Linked DNA regions of Caenorhabditis elegans. The protein of the gene in region 3 interacts with the protein of the main gene of each other region in a pairwise test. Each region holds a gene or a part of one and is shown on either strand. Other genes may lie near its edges.

The links.
Region 1: the proteins of goa-1 (region 3) and nucb-1 interact in a two-hybrid assay, tested with the Caenorhabditis elegans proteins (one study listed by BioGRID).
Region 2: the proteins of goa-1 (region 3) and hasp-1 interact in a two-hybrid assay, tested with the Caenorhabditis elegans proteins (one study listed by BioGRID).

What each region holds. Positions count from the first base shown.
Region 1 is NC_003284.9:10,195,931-10,200,945, reverse strand, and holds nucb-1 (NUCB1-like N-terminal domain-containing protein), read right to left. Parts: upstream 3,241-5,015; 5' UTR 3,238-3,240; coding exon 3,124-3,237; intron 3,029-3,123; coding exon 2,948-3,028; intron 2,902-2,947; coding exon 2,794-2,901; intron 2,750-2,793; coding exon 2,633-2,749; intron 2,579-2,632; coding exon 2,249-2,578; intron 1,711-2,248; coding exon 1,344-1,710; intron 1,183-1,343; coding exon 1,100-1,182; intron 1,052-1,099; coding exon 959-1,051; intron 908-958; coding exon 797-907; 3' UTR 573-796; downstream 1-572.
Region 2 is NC_003279.8:7,228,790-7,234,922, reverse strand, and holds hasp-1 (non-specific serine/threonine protein kinase), read left to right. Parts: upstream 1-1,801; 5' UTR 1,802-1,802; coding exon 1,803-1,990; intron 1,991-2,038; coding exon 2,039-2,183; intron 2,184-2,282; coding exon 2,283-2,451; intron 2,452-2,495; coding exon 2,496-2,660; intron 2,661-2,708; coding exon 2,709-2,825; intron 2,826-2,874; coding exon 2,875-3,018; intron 3,019-3,124; coding exon 3,125-3,262; intron 3,263-3,417; coding exon 3,418-4,857; intron 4,858-4,911; coding exon 4,912-5,014; intron 5,015-5,061; coding exon 5,062-5,179; intron 5,180-5,223; coding exon 5,224-5,346; 3' UTR 5,347-5,589; downstream 5,590-6,133. Other genes in the region: R06C7.2 (BEN domain-containing protein), read left to right, coding at 422-744, 795-819, 863-1,050, 1,098-1,263; C01H6.8 (Sensitive to high expression protein 9, mitochondrial), read right to left, coding at 5,646-5,743, 5,880-6,094.
Region 3 is NC_003279.8:7,520,570-7,527,340, reverse strand, and holds goa-1 (Guanine nucleotide-binding protein G(o) subunit alpha), read right to left. Parts: upstream 5,226-6,771; 5' UTR 5,132-5,225; coding exon 4,971-5,131; intron 4,671-4,970; coding exon 4,529-4,670; intron 3,310-4,528; coding exon 3,149-3,309; intron 2,945-3,148; coding exon 2,816-2,944; intron 2,768-2,815; coding exon 2,638-2,767; intron 2,303-2,637; coding exon 2,149-2,302; intron 2,097-2,148; coding exon 2,023-2,096; intron 1,600-2,022; coding exon 1,486-1,599; 3' UTR 629-1,485; downstream 1-628. Other genes in the region: Zinc metalloproteinase nas-36, read right to left, coding at 1-34. UniProt on the Caenorhabditis elegans protein: Guanine nucleotide-binding proteins (G proteins) are involved as modulators or transducers in various transmembrane signaling systems. In the 1-cell embryo, probably together with gpa-16, controls nuclear rotation and spindle elongation during mitosis.

The DNA.
Region 1 (5,015 bases), on a different chromosome or scaffold from region 3:
TGTTAATGCATTATGAAAGATTTATTTTTTTCAAGACCAAACGAAGGCATGATTCTTTTAACTTTCCTAAGAGCTTCATCTTCATGCGTTAACTGTGCTAGAAAACAAGAAGTTATGGTTATGAGAAAATTACAGGACGAGTGATATTGTTTTTGAAATATAAAACAGTGAGAATCAAGATTTTCAATAAAACTGTGCTCGCGGGCGATATTCTAACTACAAAATAACTATTTCCAAACGCAAATGTATCATCTTAACCAATGGAGATTCTTGTTTTTGCTTCTTGAAATTAATAATTTCGGTTCAGTGCTGAAACTTTTAAGCTGAAACAAATTTTGACTTTTTTCACGATTGCCGTGACGGAACCAATTAAAATTAGGTTTTTCTTTATATGTTCCGAATGTTTAACTCTTTCACTCGATTCAAATTTTCCAATTATTGAATTGAAGTTTTACGCTGTCTATTCGCAAATCTGCAAAGCTCTCCAAAAGTTTTTTTTTCTTTTTCGCACTGCAATCCTAGATTGGTGAGGTAGTGTTTTTTATTTACTTATTTTCATATATAAAAATATTCTGATAAATGCGTTCATTTCATAATATGCAGTTTTTGTCCGAATTGGGATTAACAGGTCCAATCGACAAAGGAATAGACAGACAAGAAATGGCCAATGACAATTCTGAATGTTTGAAAACCTATTCAAAAGTATACAACCCGGGTTTCGACATTAAGTTACATATTATCTCAACCAAAAGCATTAGCATTTTAAAACAAATTAGAAATCTACAACTGATATAAATTAAATTCCGTATGTTGGATCTTTAGTGTGATCTTGGATGGGTTCATGGTGCACAGGGGGCAAATTTTGTTGAGGTGGTTGTTGCGGTGGTTGCTGTGGAGGTTGTTGTTGCTGTAAAAAGGGTAGTAATTATTGGATTTTCTGAATGTCAGTTTTTGGTACCTGTTGCACAGGCGGTTGCGCATTTTGAACAGGTGGTGGATTTGCATTCACCGGTTGAATTGGCTGTTGAGCAGGGTGAACTTGTTGCTGAGCCTGTGAAAATGTCAAATGATTACATTACTATGTTAAGTAACTTTATACCTGTGGTGGTTGTTGGACAGCTTCTTGCGGATGTTGTTGTTCTGAAGCAACTTGTTGTGGGTCATATGCATGTTCTCCCCATCCTAGTTAAAAATCAAAATTCTAAGTAAGGCATCACTATTGCATTTTTAAAATGTTTTAATAGCTTTATAATTTGAAATCAAAGTAAGCCTGCGTGTTAGTAAAAACTCAGAAAAGTGTTAAATGGAACAAAATGCCTGCTAGGATTAAACCCCAAACTAACCTTGTTTTTGTGCATATTCTCTTTCAAACTGCTGGAGTTCTTCATCCGTATACACTTTCTTCTGTCCCAGATCTTCCCATTCTTCTTGCTTTGGTGGATTTGAATTCTGATTGTCAGAATCATTCAAGAACTCTTGCATAGAGATCATGCGATCCTGATTAACATCAATTTGCTTCATAACGTGCTCTCTCATACGGTACATCTCCTCAGCTCTTTCTTTCATGTCGTCGTCTGGGTTGGTTTCGTTATACATTTTTTCAAGCTCTAGTTGGAAAAGAGATTCCAGCTCAAAATCATTCCAGAAACCATCTCCGTTCAGGTCGTGAAGTGCAAAAAAGGTTTTTGGATCGTATTGATCTTTTTCAAGCTGAAAATTGAAGTTATTGGAGTTTATTTTATTGAGATAAAAATGGTTTTTAAAATAATGAAGTTATAGCTAAATTCCAAATAAAAAACATTATTAAAACCTATTATAAAAGTACGTTTTTCAGTTGTTCAGTGAAAAATTAATAGAAAATATTTAACTTTATACTAAAACACAGATTTATTTTGCTTTCAAACATTATGTTCATTTTATTATTATATAAAAAATCTCTTTGCTCCCTTGTTACACTGTCACTTTTCAAGATAATGACTATGCTGTAAATACTATCATTTTTAGCGATCAGAACCATTATTTTTGGCTGCAATCTTATCTTTGTTGCAAATCTTTTCCAATGTATAAACACTTGAACCAGAATCGATAATGTTCTTTTTCTTCATAAAAAAAAAACCTATACAGCGAAATCAAGTCTACTGTCAAAATCTATATAGATTCGACAAAAGCTGATTGAGTTCAAACCAAGTTGTATTATTTAAACAACTGTTCAGTCGTTGTCGTAAATCTGAGTAAAATTAGAACCTACATGATCACTTTCTTCCCAAACTTCTTGAAGCTGATCTTTGCTTCCTGGGTGTTTCAGCTTTTCATGATCATTGTGTCTTTTCAGCGACTCTTCATGTTCAGACTTTGCTTTTTCTCGTTCTTCTGGAGTCATTTGAGCCAACTTGTGATCTTCTTCAGCTTGTTTCTTCATTTCGTATTGTTTGAAGTCATCTTTTCTTTGCTCGTCCATGACGTTCATATCGGCCACCGTCTTCTGTATCAGCTTTCTCAAATCTTCCTTGTGAAATTTTTCAAGCTCTTGTACATCAAGATGGTCCGGCATTTTGATGTTGTGTGCGCCTCCATCAGCCTTAAAATTTAATAATATTAATTTTTATAAATGTATCAAATAAATAGTAAATACTTTGATTTGCTCTTCAATTTGCTTCCTGAGTCTTTCGATTTCATCAAACTTGGCTTTGTGCAATTTGTCAAAAACTTCCTGAGGAAGGTCGTCAATGTGATCGGCGATGTTTCCTGCCTGTAATATATAATCTCAGATAAAGATTATGTGCAATAAAAAACCTTGATGTCCTCTTCTTTCATGTTCTTCAGACGTTCATTAAATTTTGGGTCGCTTTCAAGAATCTTCACTACTTCTTCCAAATATTTTGTGTAGGCGAATTGATATCCCTGCAAGTAGTTTATATGTTTATCTCAAAATTGTTTCAAAACATACTGGGTGCCGACCATCATATTCTCCTTGTTGCTCTGTGTTTTGAGCTTGCCCTTGTCCTTGTTGTGCGTCTCCAGTGGCGGGCTAAAAATATTTTAATTTGTGATTGAATATTTCTGACGAAATTTAGTGGTAGCATTTATTTTTGGCTAAACATTGTTAATAAATGAAAGAAATACCTGGTGTTGAACATTATCCTGAGCCTGGGCCTGCTCTGCTTGTTGTCTCAATGGCGGGGGACACACGACATCGTTGACTAGTAGCACAGCAATTATGACTAGAGGCTTAATCATTATCTGGAAATAAAAACAGTTATACTTCTCAATGTCGGTAAATATAGAAAACTTAATAAAAACAATAGGAGTGCAAGACAAATGGGGGAAATGTGGTTTATTAAAAAAAGCAAATTATGGAAAAAAAGTAAAAATATTGAAGATATCATTTGACAAATTCCATATTTGCATCGAACACGTCACCTTACTATCGTAAATCGACACCAATAAACAAAGAGCGCGAAGTGTCGTAGTATTTCCTTTTTTTCTCTGCTAACACTCTGTATTGCGGAAAGAGAGGAGAATAGAGAAGGGTTGGGGCACATTGAATGGGAAAGAGAATCAAAACATATATTTAGCGTGTCATTTGATTGGCTTAGAAAAGATGTTCGATTGGTAACAATTGGTGATAACTCGACACAAATGATCAGTCAGCAACTAGAGAATAGTTCGAAGTTTTGAGAGATCCCGGAGGGATAATTGATGAAACAGCACAATTTTATGCGTAGCGTTGCATTCAACAAATTCGAAACAAACACATGTCAATTTCGTTGTTCGCTTTTTGCCTCGGAACTGTCATTTTTGCTGACTGATACGGCTAGTTTCCTTTTTCAGTTTAGTAACTAGCAATAAATGAAACTGTACGATTCTGCTTGCTGCATTTTTTCAAATAGTTACCCGTTTTTTAAAACAATTTTTTAGTTTCTTAAAATATTTCTGAAAGTAAATGTAAAAATGTTTAATTACAAATTCTCCGATTTTTTTTAACGCAATGTGACAACATTTAGTTTTTTCTAGAATTTTAAAATGTTTATAATTTCAAATAAACTTGCTTGTAACTATTGGGTCGGTTTGTGAAACAGTAAGAATTTTAAGCCCATAATGAGTGGTAACAATCATTTCAAGAAAATTATTTCTGAACGTTTTTAAGTAGCTTTTATGGAATCTTCAAAATAACTAACTACCGTTGTTCTTTTTCTATTTCATCTTGACCACTTTTCTCTTGGTTCTCTCAGCTCCAAAACACTGTAAGCTTAAGGTTCAAAACTAGAAATCATCATTTCACTAAAACTCTGAAATGAAAATTCATATTTTGACGTTCAACCGCGCTGATTTGAAAACAGTCATTAAGTTTGGAAACCAATTGAAATTCGCGTGCAACTGCTTAGGCACACTAGAAAATAACAGTGTTAAAAATTGTTATGCAAAATGCTCAATTATGTTACTTAATGAAAAATCCATTTAAATTTAAAAAAAAAATCGTTTTTCTTCGAAAGTATTCTAAAGCATATTTTTATTAAAATTGAAATTTAGACCCTAGGATCAATACTGTTTAGACAAAATCCGTATGATAAGAATGCAAGTTTCAACGTACTACTATTTAAACAGACAAAGTTTTATGTAATTGAAAAACCTACGATTTGTTAAAAGTAAAACTATTAGAAAAACAAGAGTTAGGTTTTTCTGTAGGTAACAATTTTGCGCACTTGTTTAAGAGAGCCGTTCATATACATATGAAATATCGTATTATTTTTTTTCGGGCTCTAGTTTGCTTCGAAAACACTTCCCAATGTGTCAAAAATCTTTTTTAATTTGCAATGACGTGTTCGACTTTTTTTCTAAATAGTCAATCTCTTCTTCTTTTCATTTAGTCATGTCATTTTTTTGTTGCATGATGCTTATTTGCTAAACTTATAATTTATTTCAACAAAGGTCGACATGACTTCCTCACTGGTCCAAGCGAGACACATTTTGCATTTTGCAAGCAATCATTATGTTTGAATTTTCTCAAATGTTTC
Region 2 (6,133 bases), 290 kb from region 3:
AATACAAAAAACAATTTCTTCGTCCTAAAAAATTTAAATGACAACGCATACAGTACATAAGAATGGAGATCGCTGCGAGACCCACTCAGTGTTAAAACGAACGCTCCTTGAATTTATTTTTGCTGTACAGCCTTATTTTTCTCCTTTTTACAAGTATTGTGTGCTTTCCATGTTTTAAAAAGTGACTTAGTTGTTAATTTTATTTTGAATGATACTCATCTAATTCAGGCTTGTAGCTTAGATCGCAATGAAGTTAATCGTTTGCAACCTATGTGGATTCCCGCCAGCAAGAAGGCAATTTTACATCACCACCTGCTCTCACATCTTGTCGAACAACGCAGACTGCTGGATTTTGTTATTTGTGTAAGGTCCCTACGAAAACTCTTAAAATAGATGGAAATCTGCCGAAAATGTGCGGAAAATGTTCAGCGCTGTACATCCCGATTCGCGACGTGACTGTAAAAAGTACAGATATTCTCAAACGTCTCACCAGAATTATTGGTTTTTAAAGTATTCAGAATTCAATTTATTAGGAAAACGAAAAATAAAAGGTAATTTTTTGCACTTGTTTCATGCAGAAGAAAAAGTTTTATTTCAGTCGGTGATGCTAAAAGATCAAACGGCGAAAACAGAGAAAAGGACACAGGAAATCACATGCCAACTGTCGAAGCTAGCCAATTTTGAGGAAAATAATCGAAAGAAGCTTCAAGATACTGAACGCGAGAACAAGAAGCTTCGAAATTTGTAAGTAGTTTCTGCACGAGATTAAATTTAACATTTTTTTTCTATTTTAGAATCAATTCCCTTGAACTGAAACTTGTCAGTTCTCCTGTTATCGACAATAACGATTTTTTTATTCAAGGAAAATCTACCTCTTCAAATCCTTTTTTTTTTAATCTCGGAAAATGACGAATTGCTCGAACGTGTATTTCACTTCCATTGTGCCACCTTCACCAAATTGTCAGACTTCCAACTTCTTTTTTTTCCAACACCAATGTATGTTGCAAATGAGTACGCGAAGAGTGGTCGTAATTTGTGGAATGAAGCCATGTGAGTTTAAGAAAATGACAACAGTTGATATTAAAATATTTTTGCAGCATTGCGGATGCAATTCCCGAAGTTTCTGGACCAGAGGCAGCTCGTATGAAGCAGATTACCGATAGCATCAAATACAAGGAATCCGGCTTCCTGATCGACCGTCGTGTCAATGCTTCAGCACTAATAATTCAATCAAATTGTAGTATTTTCAATTCCAACTTCTAGTTTGTGAGAAGCATACCATGATTTTTTATTTGTATCCCACCCTGTCATTCTTGTTTTTGCGTTACATACAATGCGTATCTAATAGTAAGTGGTGTAACTGCTAATTTCATTTTCCCCCGTTGCCCTATTATTGTTTTGACCTACGTGGAAATTGATTTTTTGTTGTTGTTGTTGAGTGCAGATTATAGAATGTAGCCTGTTGTTATGTTAAGTTGTACGTGCAATGTTGTTGTAGTCTCCTTAAACCCATAAAAATCATAAAACTTATTTCAGTTTTAAGTTTGAAAAATCGGGATCACCAAAATAATATTTCTTTCGCTTTTTTGGTTTTGAACAAAGTTTTAGATTGGGAAAATTTTCAAAAAACCAATACATGGAAATTTTATTTTTTTTGTTTTTTTGTTATGGAATACCAGTGTTCTCCGTAGAGCGCACTTTCATTTATATTTTCGGCGCGTTATTTATTGTTTCAAACCAACTCTTTGCATTTTGCGCTACATTATATAACGTTTTAATCAATTTCCACTTTTTTTTGCAGAATGCCTCCTAAACCCCGAATAAAAGTGCCAATATCGCCCGGGAAAAAAGCTCGAAATAATTTTGCCCGACGAAATCGTCAATTGTCAAGCGTAATTATCACAGAATGCCCGATCGACTTTCCTGAATATGAGTTTTCAAAAAATCCGGCGCTGTTTAAGTCGTTTAATGATAATCCAGAGTTCAAACCGTATGTTAAAAATTGTTTTCAAAGTAACAAAATTTAAAATTTCTTCAGAAGCAAAAAGAAGAATAAGCCAAAACCAGTGTTCCCACCATCTCCAAATGTCAGTGATGTCGAAATATCAAGTGATGAGGAAGATGCTGGACAATTTAAAGTGCCTGATGCAGATGCTGATGAAGAAGAAAAAATTAAGAAAATCGTTAGTATTTTGTTTACTCCTTTTAACGTTGTAAACGTGGAGTGAATGCAAAAATAACATTTGAATGTTCGAGTTTTGAAAATAATCTAATTTTTTCAGAAGGAAGCATTTGATTCATTGGATGATGTTTCTCTCGAAGTCTTCAATAATGATGGAATTAGAGTAAAAATAGAAAATGGAAAACATATTATTCACGATAAGCAGCCTGAAGAAGCATGGCGGCCAGGTATTCGAGAATATCACGATGGAAATTTCCCAATGATGAATAGTTAGTCCAGAAAACATCAAAAGGTTTATTAATTATAATTTCAGAGCCAGCAAAGAAAATAGATTTCGCGAAGAAAATGGAACAAAGACAAAAAAAACCAGTTAAGCAGGTTCCAGAGATGAATTCCAAAGCAAACCAAGTTCAGTGTCCAACAAATTATGCATCATTTTGCGGTTCAATTCTAGCAGATCATATGAGACAAAACAAAAGTTAGTCACATTTTTCAACTTGATATTTAGCAATTTTCATTATTTCAGAAGCATCTTTGGCAGCTCCATCATTGTTCAGGGTATTTGGCACACCTCAAAGATCGAAGATGATCGTGCCGGCGAAACATGTCCAGTGTCAGGATGAGCGTCTCGCTATTTATAGCTGTACTTTTGAAAACTGGAAATTATTTTCAAATTCATTAACCTTTTTTAGACACCCCGATTCGTGTGAACAAAACGGCGAAGCAACTAGACGACACGATCGGAAGCATTGTCTTCTCGCCGAAAACTCAGAATGCGAGTACTCCGATTGAAAAGCAGACAGCTGGAAGAAGACCCAAAAGCTTCCCAGTATTTGGTATTTTTTTAAACATTTATATAACTTTGCTATAGATTATGTCTTTCATTTTAAAAAGTCATAGTCAATAGTTACACTGAAAATTAATTTTAAAAAATTGTTTCAGATGTTTCCCTCAATGATTCTTGCGAGAATATCACGAAAAAAGAAGAACAAATCGCACAAAAATCTGCAAATTCTGATCAAAAAGAGACTACCATCAACAATATCCCGATCGAAGAGGAATACAGTGGAAGAGTTCATGGTAATTTCAATATTACTCATTTTCTAATATTTTCTATTTTAAAACTCTATTTAGAATTTTATAAGCCCTAAAAAAGTTTTCCACAGTGCAAAAAAATGTATTCACAATTCTCACAAACCAATTAAATATTTATTCCTAATCCGTTGTCTTTGTAGAATCATCATTGGCTGGAAGTATACAACAACCACAGCAAGATCTTGAAGAAACTGCAATCTCCGAAAATCGTCTCTCACATTCTACACTGAAAACCACGCCAATCGAGTCCCGGAACGAAAGTCACCAAAATTCAAAAATCATGACCCAGCAGGTCTCAGACTCAGAAGATGTTGAAGATGTCACTTTTAACCGAAAAGCTGAAACGTCTGTTACGGAACTATTGCACGAGGAGGATGAGCATGAACGATGCTCAGATCTAAATCTCGAAGAAAGCAAATATTCGAAAAAGCGACAAAGAACAAAGAGCCCGGAGACAATGTGTCAAGGCATGAGCACTGTGATGACGATGCAGGATGATCAAGACGATCTAGAAGCTTTATTCGAAATTGAAAAAGAGAATGAAATAAGAAAAAGAACAACTCTTCAACCCCAACAAAGGCAACGTGACAGAGAATCTCGTGTCTCACGACTTTCAGTAATGTCTGCAGCTTCATCTCGTCACGATTCCATAAATAGTGCCATGGAGGAGATGAGCTTACAACAATTTTTAGAAGACACGATGGGAGAAGAGTTTGGAAAAACTCAATATTCAGAATCTCGTGCAGAATCTAGAAATATTCCTACTGGTATGACGATTCATAATGAAGATCCGTCGATACTCCCATTCTACTTGGAAGATCTAACTTCGGAAATCGATCCATCACCGATGATGCAGCTCCTTCATGTTGTTGGTCAAAAAGAATCAAAAACGTGGGATAGTCTACCGAAGTCGGCTCTCGATGGTCGAAGAGTTAAGAAACTCGGCGAAGGAGCCTACGGTGAAGTCTTCTCAACAATATGGGATGGTAAACCGGTTGCTATCAAAATCGTCCCATTTGAAAAAGATGGATGCAATCGGCAATATTTCGGTGAATATCATTCTGAGGAAATGCAAACATCCGATGTCGTTCTGCCTGAAGTTATCGTAATGAAGGAACTATCGGCTTTGAGAGATGAAGATGCTTGGAATTCTACTCCAAATTTCATCGAAATGATTTCTGCCGAAGTTGTGATGGGGAAGTATCCTAAAGGATTGTTGAGTGCCTGGGATTCATACGACAAATTGAAAGAATCCGAGAATACAAGGCCAGATGTGTATTCTTCAATAGATCAAAACTTTATTCTTTTCGTTTCGGCAAATGGTGGAATCGCACTGGAAGATTTTGTCCTTGAAAGTGAAAATGAACTCTTTTCGATCATTCACCAACTCGTTCTTTCAATGAATGCAGCAGAAGCAGCTCTCGAATTTGAACACAGAGACTTACATCTTGGTAATGTACTGATTGATCGGAATGGCGTGAAAGAGCTTTATTACACTGTTCATGGGCAGAAAGTACCATTAAGTACCCATGGAATTAAAGTCAATATTATTGATTTCACATTGAGCCGAATTTCCAAAGGTTTGTCTATATTCAGAGAAATCGCCAATTTTTGAAAAAAAATTCTAATTTTAGGTGCGACAACTGTCTATTGGGACTTGGAAAACGACCCAGCAATTTTCGAGGGACAAGATGATCCACAATTCGAAGTATATCGAGAAATGAGAAAGAATTGCAAGTGAGTAATATATTCCTTAGGAAATAGAAAAAAATCAAACATTTCAGGAGCAATTGGAAGAAATTTTCGAGGCGAACGAATCTCATGTGGATTGTATACATTGCAAATCGACTGATTGATACAAAAATCTGCCCCAAGGGACTTCTTACCGAGAAACGGAGAATGGTTGGCACGAAATCAAGATAAATAATCGAAAACAACTATTTCAGGAGCTCAAAGTACTGTTTGACCGATTTGCCGAGTTTGGTTCTTGTGGAGAATCGTTGACCAATGAGGAATTCTTCAGCGATTTTTACGAGGGACCGATCGGAATGTCCACGACACGTCAATAATGTGCTCAGAATATGAGTATCAAAAAAATCCGCGGGTCTCAATAATCTAGATCTCGTTTCATATTTCCTGTCAAATATTTATTTTTTGAAATTTTAGTATTTACGATGTCTTTCATTTTCAGTTTAAAAGTGTTTCTAATATATAATTAAATCTTTTTTATTATTTTAAACAAAACCGTGCGATTTTTTAGAAACGTTCAGAAAAGTAAAATTTGAGACAAAAAAATAAATAACTAGTAGAAAGAGAAAGTTCAAGATTTAAAAAAATTGAAAATCCTAGGAATTCTTCTCAGTAACTTTTATTCAGCTTTGACTGCCTTCCTTTTCGGTTTCTTCTCAGAATCCAGAATCTGACGAACTTCTTCATTTGATATTCTCATGCCATCATCATCACTCTCTGAAAATATTATTTTATCAAAGGTTTCAATTTTTTCAATACAAGCATTATTTGAAGCTTGGTTACAGATCTTCGAAATTAGCGTTTTTAAAATAAGTTAATCTGAATTTTAATGATTCAGTAGCCATGCACATACCAGTAACCTCTTCAATAGTTGGTCCATCTCCACCACGGAGAGCTGTAAGCCATCTACGTTGAAATGGTCGAATAAGAAGTGGAAGTAAAAGTACAATAGCTCCCCATAATCCATTGAATAAAAGACGTCCAAATGCGTCACCAGTATACTTACTGAATGTTTCTGACCATGTTCTTGGACTTTCGAATTTTCGAAGATAGTCTTCGTGTTTTTCTCTGAAACAAATTTTTAATTTGAGAGAAAAACTGAAATCC
Region 3 (6,771 bases):
AATTAAATAAAATAATTGAATGACATAATCTCATATTTCTCATGAAATAGAATAATAGTTCAATTAAAAGAGAAGATAGGAAAGTGTATGAGATATTCTCTTTTTTTTGGCAAATGAACAGAAAAAGTGAAAGTTTATCACATAGTGGGAGGAGGAGGGAAAAGCTGATGGAAAATGAACACAATTGTGTGACAAAAAGGACACATTTTTAGATGATTGTTGTAAAATTTAATGAAACTTGACATTTGGAAGGTTTTTCGCTTTAGTAACACTCACTTCCGGGTCATTTATCTTGAGAAAATCATTATCTGAAGACTATTTTTGGGGTTTCCCACTTTTGATGTTATAACAATAGGTTTTGATTTTTTTAAATCTTGGTAATGATGGGGAAATTGTTTTAAACCATGCTAATAATTCAAAATAACAATTAAATTTTAAATTCGCGCGCGAGGTTTAAACTTCTTGGTGGTTATTCAAAAAGGAGTTCAGGGAAATTTAAATTTTATCGAGTTTTAAAAATATTGGTTTTTTATCTAGACATATGTACGGTAGTCCCATATGCAATTTCCCATGCAAACTAAATCACTGTACTTTTGTATCCACCAAACTGAATTTGTACGAAAACTAGTTGAGGATGTCGTTTATATCAAATAAGATATCAATGAGTGGGTGCAGTCGACAATAAACCAATGCGGAAAATATCGTCTACTGCACACCATCGTGCTCACCGACAAAAAGCGAGACGATTTTAAAGAAAAAAGATGGAAAAATGAAAAAGTAAAAGAAAAAATAGGGAGAGGAAAACAGCGAGAAAAATGAGTTTGGAAGTGTGGTTTTAGGAAAAGGAGGGAAAATGGATGAGAGGGGAAGAGTAGAAATAGAAAAATACCAAAAATTAAAAATAAAATCTTTAAACATAGACAAAAGCTGCCATTATTTAACTGTTAACAGTGACTAGGTGTGTTGAAAAATGGGAGAAAAGAAAGAAAAAAGGGGCAAAGCTTTATAATTCGGGGTGAAGAGACCTTTAGGGGGTGTGTGGCGGAACGGGACGAATTCCAACTGAATTTAGATTTTTAAAGTTTTCTTGTTTTCAAATAGCGATAAGGCTACACGGGAGTGAGAAGGGCGGGGGATGTGGCGTGAATAATGACAATATATAATAAATAAGAAAAAAGGAAAAAATAAATAATTGTGAGTTTTATGTGTTATTTTTGTGACAGAAAAATTAGGGATCCTAGTTGAGAAAAAGAAGGGCGGTGAGACTATTATGAATGAATCAGAGGTTAAAAAAAAGCCCATATACATCTGAAATTGCAACTTTTTCCAAAAAATAAAAACAGTTGCAACCATAATGTACATGTAAAGCTCTCAAATTATAGATGCATACTCGGGGGATGAGAAAAATAACGAATCTTTAAAAATTTGGGAAAAGTAAGCAAAGATACACACAGAATGGTAGAAGAGGGCGGCGAAGACGACAGCTTAATACAAGCCGCATCCACGAAGATTATTGGCAATAATCACATCGGTGACAGCGTCAAACACAAATTGAATGTTAGTTGTGTCTGTGGCACATGTCATGTGGCAATAGATTTCCTGCAAATAAGAATATTATTTCAAAAGAAAACAAATTAAATGAAATAATGAATTAAAATTATTACCTCAACACTCAACTTTAACTACCTATTCAAATATGAAACTACAGTAACCGCAATATCGGAGAAAATGTCGAGATAGTAAAAATCTCAAATTTTGGTTGTAATTACTTAATTGAATACGATTCAGAGATTTTTCTGGTTATCATTTTCTGTGACAGATTAACAAAACAATTGAATATTCGTGTTTACTTAAAAAAAATTAAATTTTATAAATGTTTCACACTTCAAAAAATTTCCAAAATTAACTAGATATTAAAAATTATAAAAAATATTATTCTAGAAAAACAATTTATACTTTTCGTGGAACAGGAACCCCATAGGCTTCTCTGATTTCATTGATTTTTAGACTTTTTTTTCTTACCTTATTCGCTGATTTGTTTTTAGCCTCAAATTGTGCTTGAATATACGCAGATGCCTCGTGGTAGTCTTGTCGTCCTACAGGGATTAAGAAATTAAAACATTTATTGGAAATTCAATTAAATTTTACCTGAATATTCTGGGAAGCAGATCGTTAACGGGCTTTTCTTGATTTTCTCTTCAAACAGATCCTTCTTGTTCAGGAACAGAATAATCGATGTATCTGTGAACCATTTGTTATTACAGATCGAATCGAACAGCTTCAGCGATTCGTGCATTCGGTTCTGAAAATATGAAATAAGGAACAATAATGAATAATAATGAATAATGAATAATAGAATGAATAATAGAATATAATTTAAAAAAACGAGTAATTTTTAAATTATCATGTTTCTTTTATTTTGGCAAATATATTGTCGGTCAGAAGTTGCATTTTCGTTAGAAAAATTAGAAGAAGAACATTATTTTTATTATTGTAAAAGTCGACTCGAACGACCAAGTCATGATTGGAAAATCGTTTAAAAAACATAAAGTCTCTAAACGATATTTTCTAATTTTAAATTTTGTCTGTCTTTTTCAACAAAAAAGCTTCTAAAATATTAAAATATCAATTTCTCACTGTTGTCTCATCTTCGTGCAACACTTGATCATACTCTGACATGGCAACACAGAAAATAATAGCAGTAACATCTTCGAAACAATGAATCCACTTCTTCCTTTCTGATCTTTGACCTCCCACATCGAACAATCTGTAAATATTCATTATTAAATATTATTTTTTTATCAAGAAAACTCACTTGAAATTGAGATTTTTGAATGTGAAGTGAACTTCAACAATACCAGTTGTTTTGACACGAGTTCGGAGAATATCTTGCTCAGTTGGTTGATATATTGCCTCTCCTAACCTTTCCAGGTCGTCAAGGAAACTGAAAAAATGGTTATTAATAAATTCTATAAACTGCGAAATTTCTTGAAATTTTAAATTTGGTAATATTGAAAATGAGCTTGACATGTAACATATTGATTCGAAATTTAGGAAACTCTTCTCAATTTATGAAAAAAACCACTTTGGTTGTTATGGAGATAATAGTTACTTGAAATAATTTTTCAAAATTTTGAATTAAACTTACTATTTGGCTGAATCATTCAATTGATACTCGTTACTCCTTGAGAAACAATCCTGTACACCTGCGTCTCCCCACAACCGTTTCATTGAACTGAGCAATTCTTCTGAGAATGGCTCTGTGTCCTCCATTCGTGCCACCACATCCATCACTAATTTTGCATCTACCTGAAACAAAAAACTTTGATTTTAGTTCTCGATAACTTTATTCGCTGATGAAAATTGAATAATTCACAGCATGTCATGTACATCATTTTCCCAATTTTCTCACAAAATTGAAATTGGATCCTTGGCTCTCTTCCAATGGTTTGTCCAAAGGTCTCAAAATGGTCATTTTATTTCAATTATCTCAAATTACTTTATATTCGGTGACATGCATAGTCACGTCTTGTTAAGATTAAGGATATATATAAAATTGAATGATAAATGTTCGATCTTCACATCAAAAACTTTTTTACGTTTTCGACACGACAAATTTTTGTTGAATGCTAAAATATGTTTATATTTATTCTTACGATTTGTTAAAGTTAATTCGTAAATATTTGATTGTTATTTATTAATTTTTAAAATAAATGAATACGTTTTTATTGAATAACTATGAAAAATCGATTAAAAATTTGGCTGCAACGAAAATTAAACATTACAGTACTCTTTAAAGGCGCACACCTTCTTGCATTGAACACAAATTCATCGTATAAAAACCGGGAATTGCATTTGTGACGCAATAACAAAACATTTGACGTCTGAATGATGTAAAATCTTCTCCAAAACGTTGGGAACATTTTTTTCTGATGATTTGCCACATCAATCGAAAATGTGTTCCCAAAGATTTTCCAACATTCTAGAATCCCTTCCAAATCCCAATTCAAAATTCCTGCCTCGAACATATATTTTTGGAATACTAGGTCGAGTCTACGAGTTTGTCGGTGGCGCGTCGCGCATCGAAACTCACAAGGGAATTGGAATGGGACGGTGGTGTGGTAGCGGGATGCATTGAGTGCAACGAGAGGCAATAAGAGTTGCAGAATGTAAGAGAGAGAGAGAGAAAAAGATACCGAGCCAATGAATACAACAGATTATGTCATTTATTCTCATGCTCTTCGTTTTTCGTATCTTTTTATTCGTTATTTTCCAAATATTTCGAATTACTCTTCAGAACACGGGAAACATTTTTAATTGAATAATGTTTATGTTCTATCTATAGATCACAATCGCAAGTAAATTTCAGAAAAATAAGTTTTATTTTGAAGTAACGTTTTTGTCGTGCTAATCATTAGCAGCTAATGGACCGAAATTAATTTTTTCCATTAAGGGATCACTTGAAAATTTCGTGCCTCATTTTTAAATAATTTCGATTTTTTTGCAGAAAAATTGTCATAATACTCACCTCTCTGTCAGCCGAACCAAATGAAACGCCTAAGTTGCTCATGGCTCGCAAAATAGCGACCAATGATTGAACCGTGTTACTGTAGACAACCGGCTTGTACTGTTTGTAGTCTTCTGCTGTGAATCCCGATTCGTGAATAATTCTGAAAAAAAAACATTAAAATGTGAAAATTTGTAAAGGCGTGTTTCAAATTTAAACTATTAGAGAGTTGAACTTACTTTTCAAATTTTGAATACGAAAAAAAAATTAATAGCAGTCTCTAGTGATTTATTTACTTTTTAATTAAATTTAATTTTTAATAATTCAAATCGATCAAACGAAATATTCGGACGTTCTATGGGACAATTTCGGATGATAAATTCTGAGTTTTTCACCATTTATTTCTACCATTTTCGTTTATATATGTTTTAATTTGTTATTTAGAAATTTAAAAAAATCTCACTTCATCTGTTTTACAATAGTCGATTTTCCTGATTCTCCTGCACCAAGTAGCAGCAGTTTGATATCTTTTGCCGCTTGCATGCCGTCTTCTTTAAGATTTTTCTCAATCATTCGTGATCTTTCAAGAGCGGCACGCTCTTCCTGTGACATGGTACAACCCATGGCGCTAGAGTTGATGAACGGTGGACCCTATGCCCCGGTAGCGGTCTCCACTTGATATCCTCTACTCACTCACTGTATGTGGTGCAGCTCAGCGCTGAAAATAAATTGAAAAAATTAGAATCGAAGTAAGTTATAGCGGGTTAAAAAATAAGGAAAAGAAAAAGCAATCGAGCGAAAAAAAGGGACACAGTGAGATGGAGAATGAAGAAATGGATGGATGAGGGATCGAGGGCAGAATATAGATGAGATGAGAGGAGATGACAAAAATGACGAATGAGGAAAATAGAGGGTGCACGTCGTCAAGGCGACTAATTTTTATTGAATTTTCTTACTTTTTCATTAATTTATTTTAGTGGTAGAAATATGCAACCTACAATACTCTAAACAGGGCCTTTCTAATTTTTGCGCAAACATTTTTTCAAATCAGACGTTCTCTCAGATTTCTTTGGAGCAGCGTCAGTGGGGAAATTGTTAAAACGTTTGCATGTTCGAATCCCTGCAATGTTTGAGTACTAAATTCGAAGGTGAAATTTTTCTTGATCTACGACAGAAAAATGTACTAACTGTTAAACTTGCAGATGAACTAAATTAGTTATATTTCAAGAATGATCAGAGATTGTTCATTCAGTTTTCTATTTTAGAATCAATTGGTTTAATCTGAAATCGAAATGAAAATCAGCTAATCGAGGATAAACATGTTTTGCAAAATCAACCAAAAAGAAATTTTACTACATGCTTCCGGCCGGGTCAACGTTCTCCACAAAAAGGTTAGAAAATAGATAATTTGTAAAGAACAGAAGCAAAAAAATAGACGACAACGTCTTCGATTTTTCCGTTTTCACTGCTTCTGCTTCTTCTCTTTCTTCGTTGTCGTCGTCGTCCTTCTTTTTCTTTTTTTTTTGCGTGGCGCAAAAAAATGGGGGAGCAACTGCGACGACGACGGCGAGCAGGATGGTGGGGTTGGAGAAGGAAAATAGAGAGAAAAGCGAGGGCGAGGAGAAGAAGAAGGTCATGGGCATAGCAGAAAAGGGGTAGTAGTAGCCAGGGGCAGCCAGTAGCCGAAACAGGAGAGCCCCATCGTTCAGGGGGCAGCGACAGTGAAGACGAGGGTCGGCGGCTACTTGCGTTGCGTGTCGATTCGAATTTTAAATCATGATGAGGATCAGAACCATGCAGATATTCTAGTAGTCGGAGTTATCTGATCACAGGCGGCGTTTGAGTTAAAATCTTAAAATATTGCATAAAAACTTAAATTGTCTGACAGCCTTAATAGCGACTTTATGATGCCGAAAACTACTATTTAAAATTTAAGTTTCAATCGACGAACAGCGCCGTAGACTAGGTCTCCGTGAACCAAAAGCTATAGGAACATAAAGCCTTTTTCCATGTGCCTAATTGTTTTATTTTCATAATAAATGCATAGACAGCACTGGCAGCGATACACAAGGAGACATGTTGAGTGCCGTACACCGGAGACCACAGCTGGACCCTCTTACAGATTTTCCAGTCGAAGAACGGAGACGAGGGGACACGAATAATAAACAATGAGTGAAAGTATGAAAGGGAAAATCAAGAAAAGATAAAAATAGTGGATTACGCAGAAATAAAACCTTAACTTGAAATATTTTACTATTAGTTTG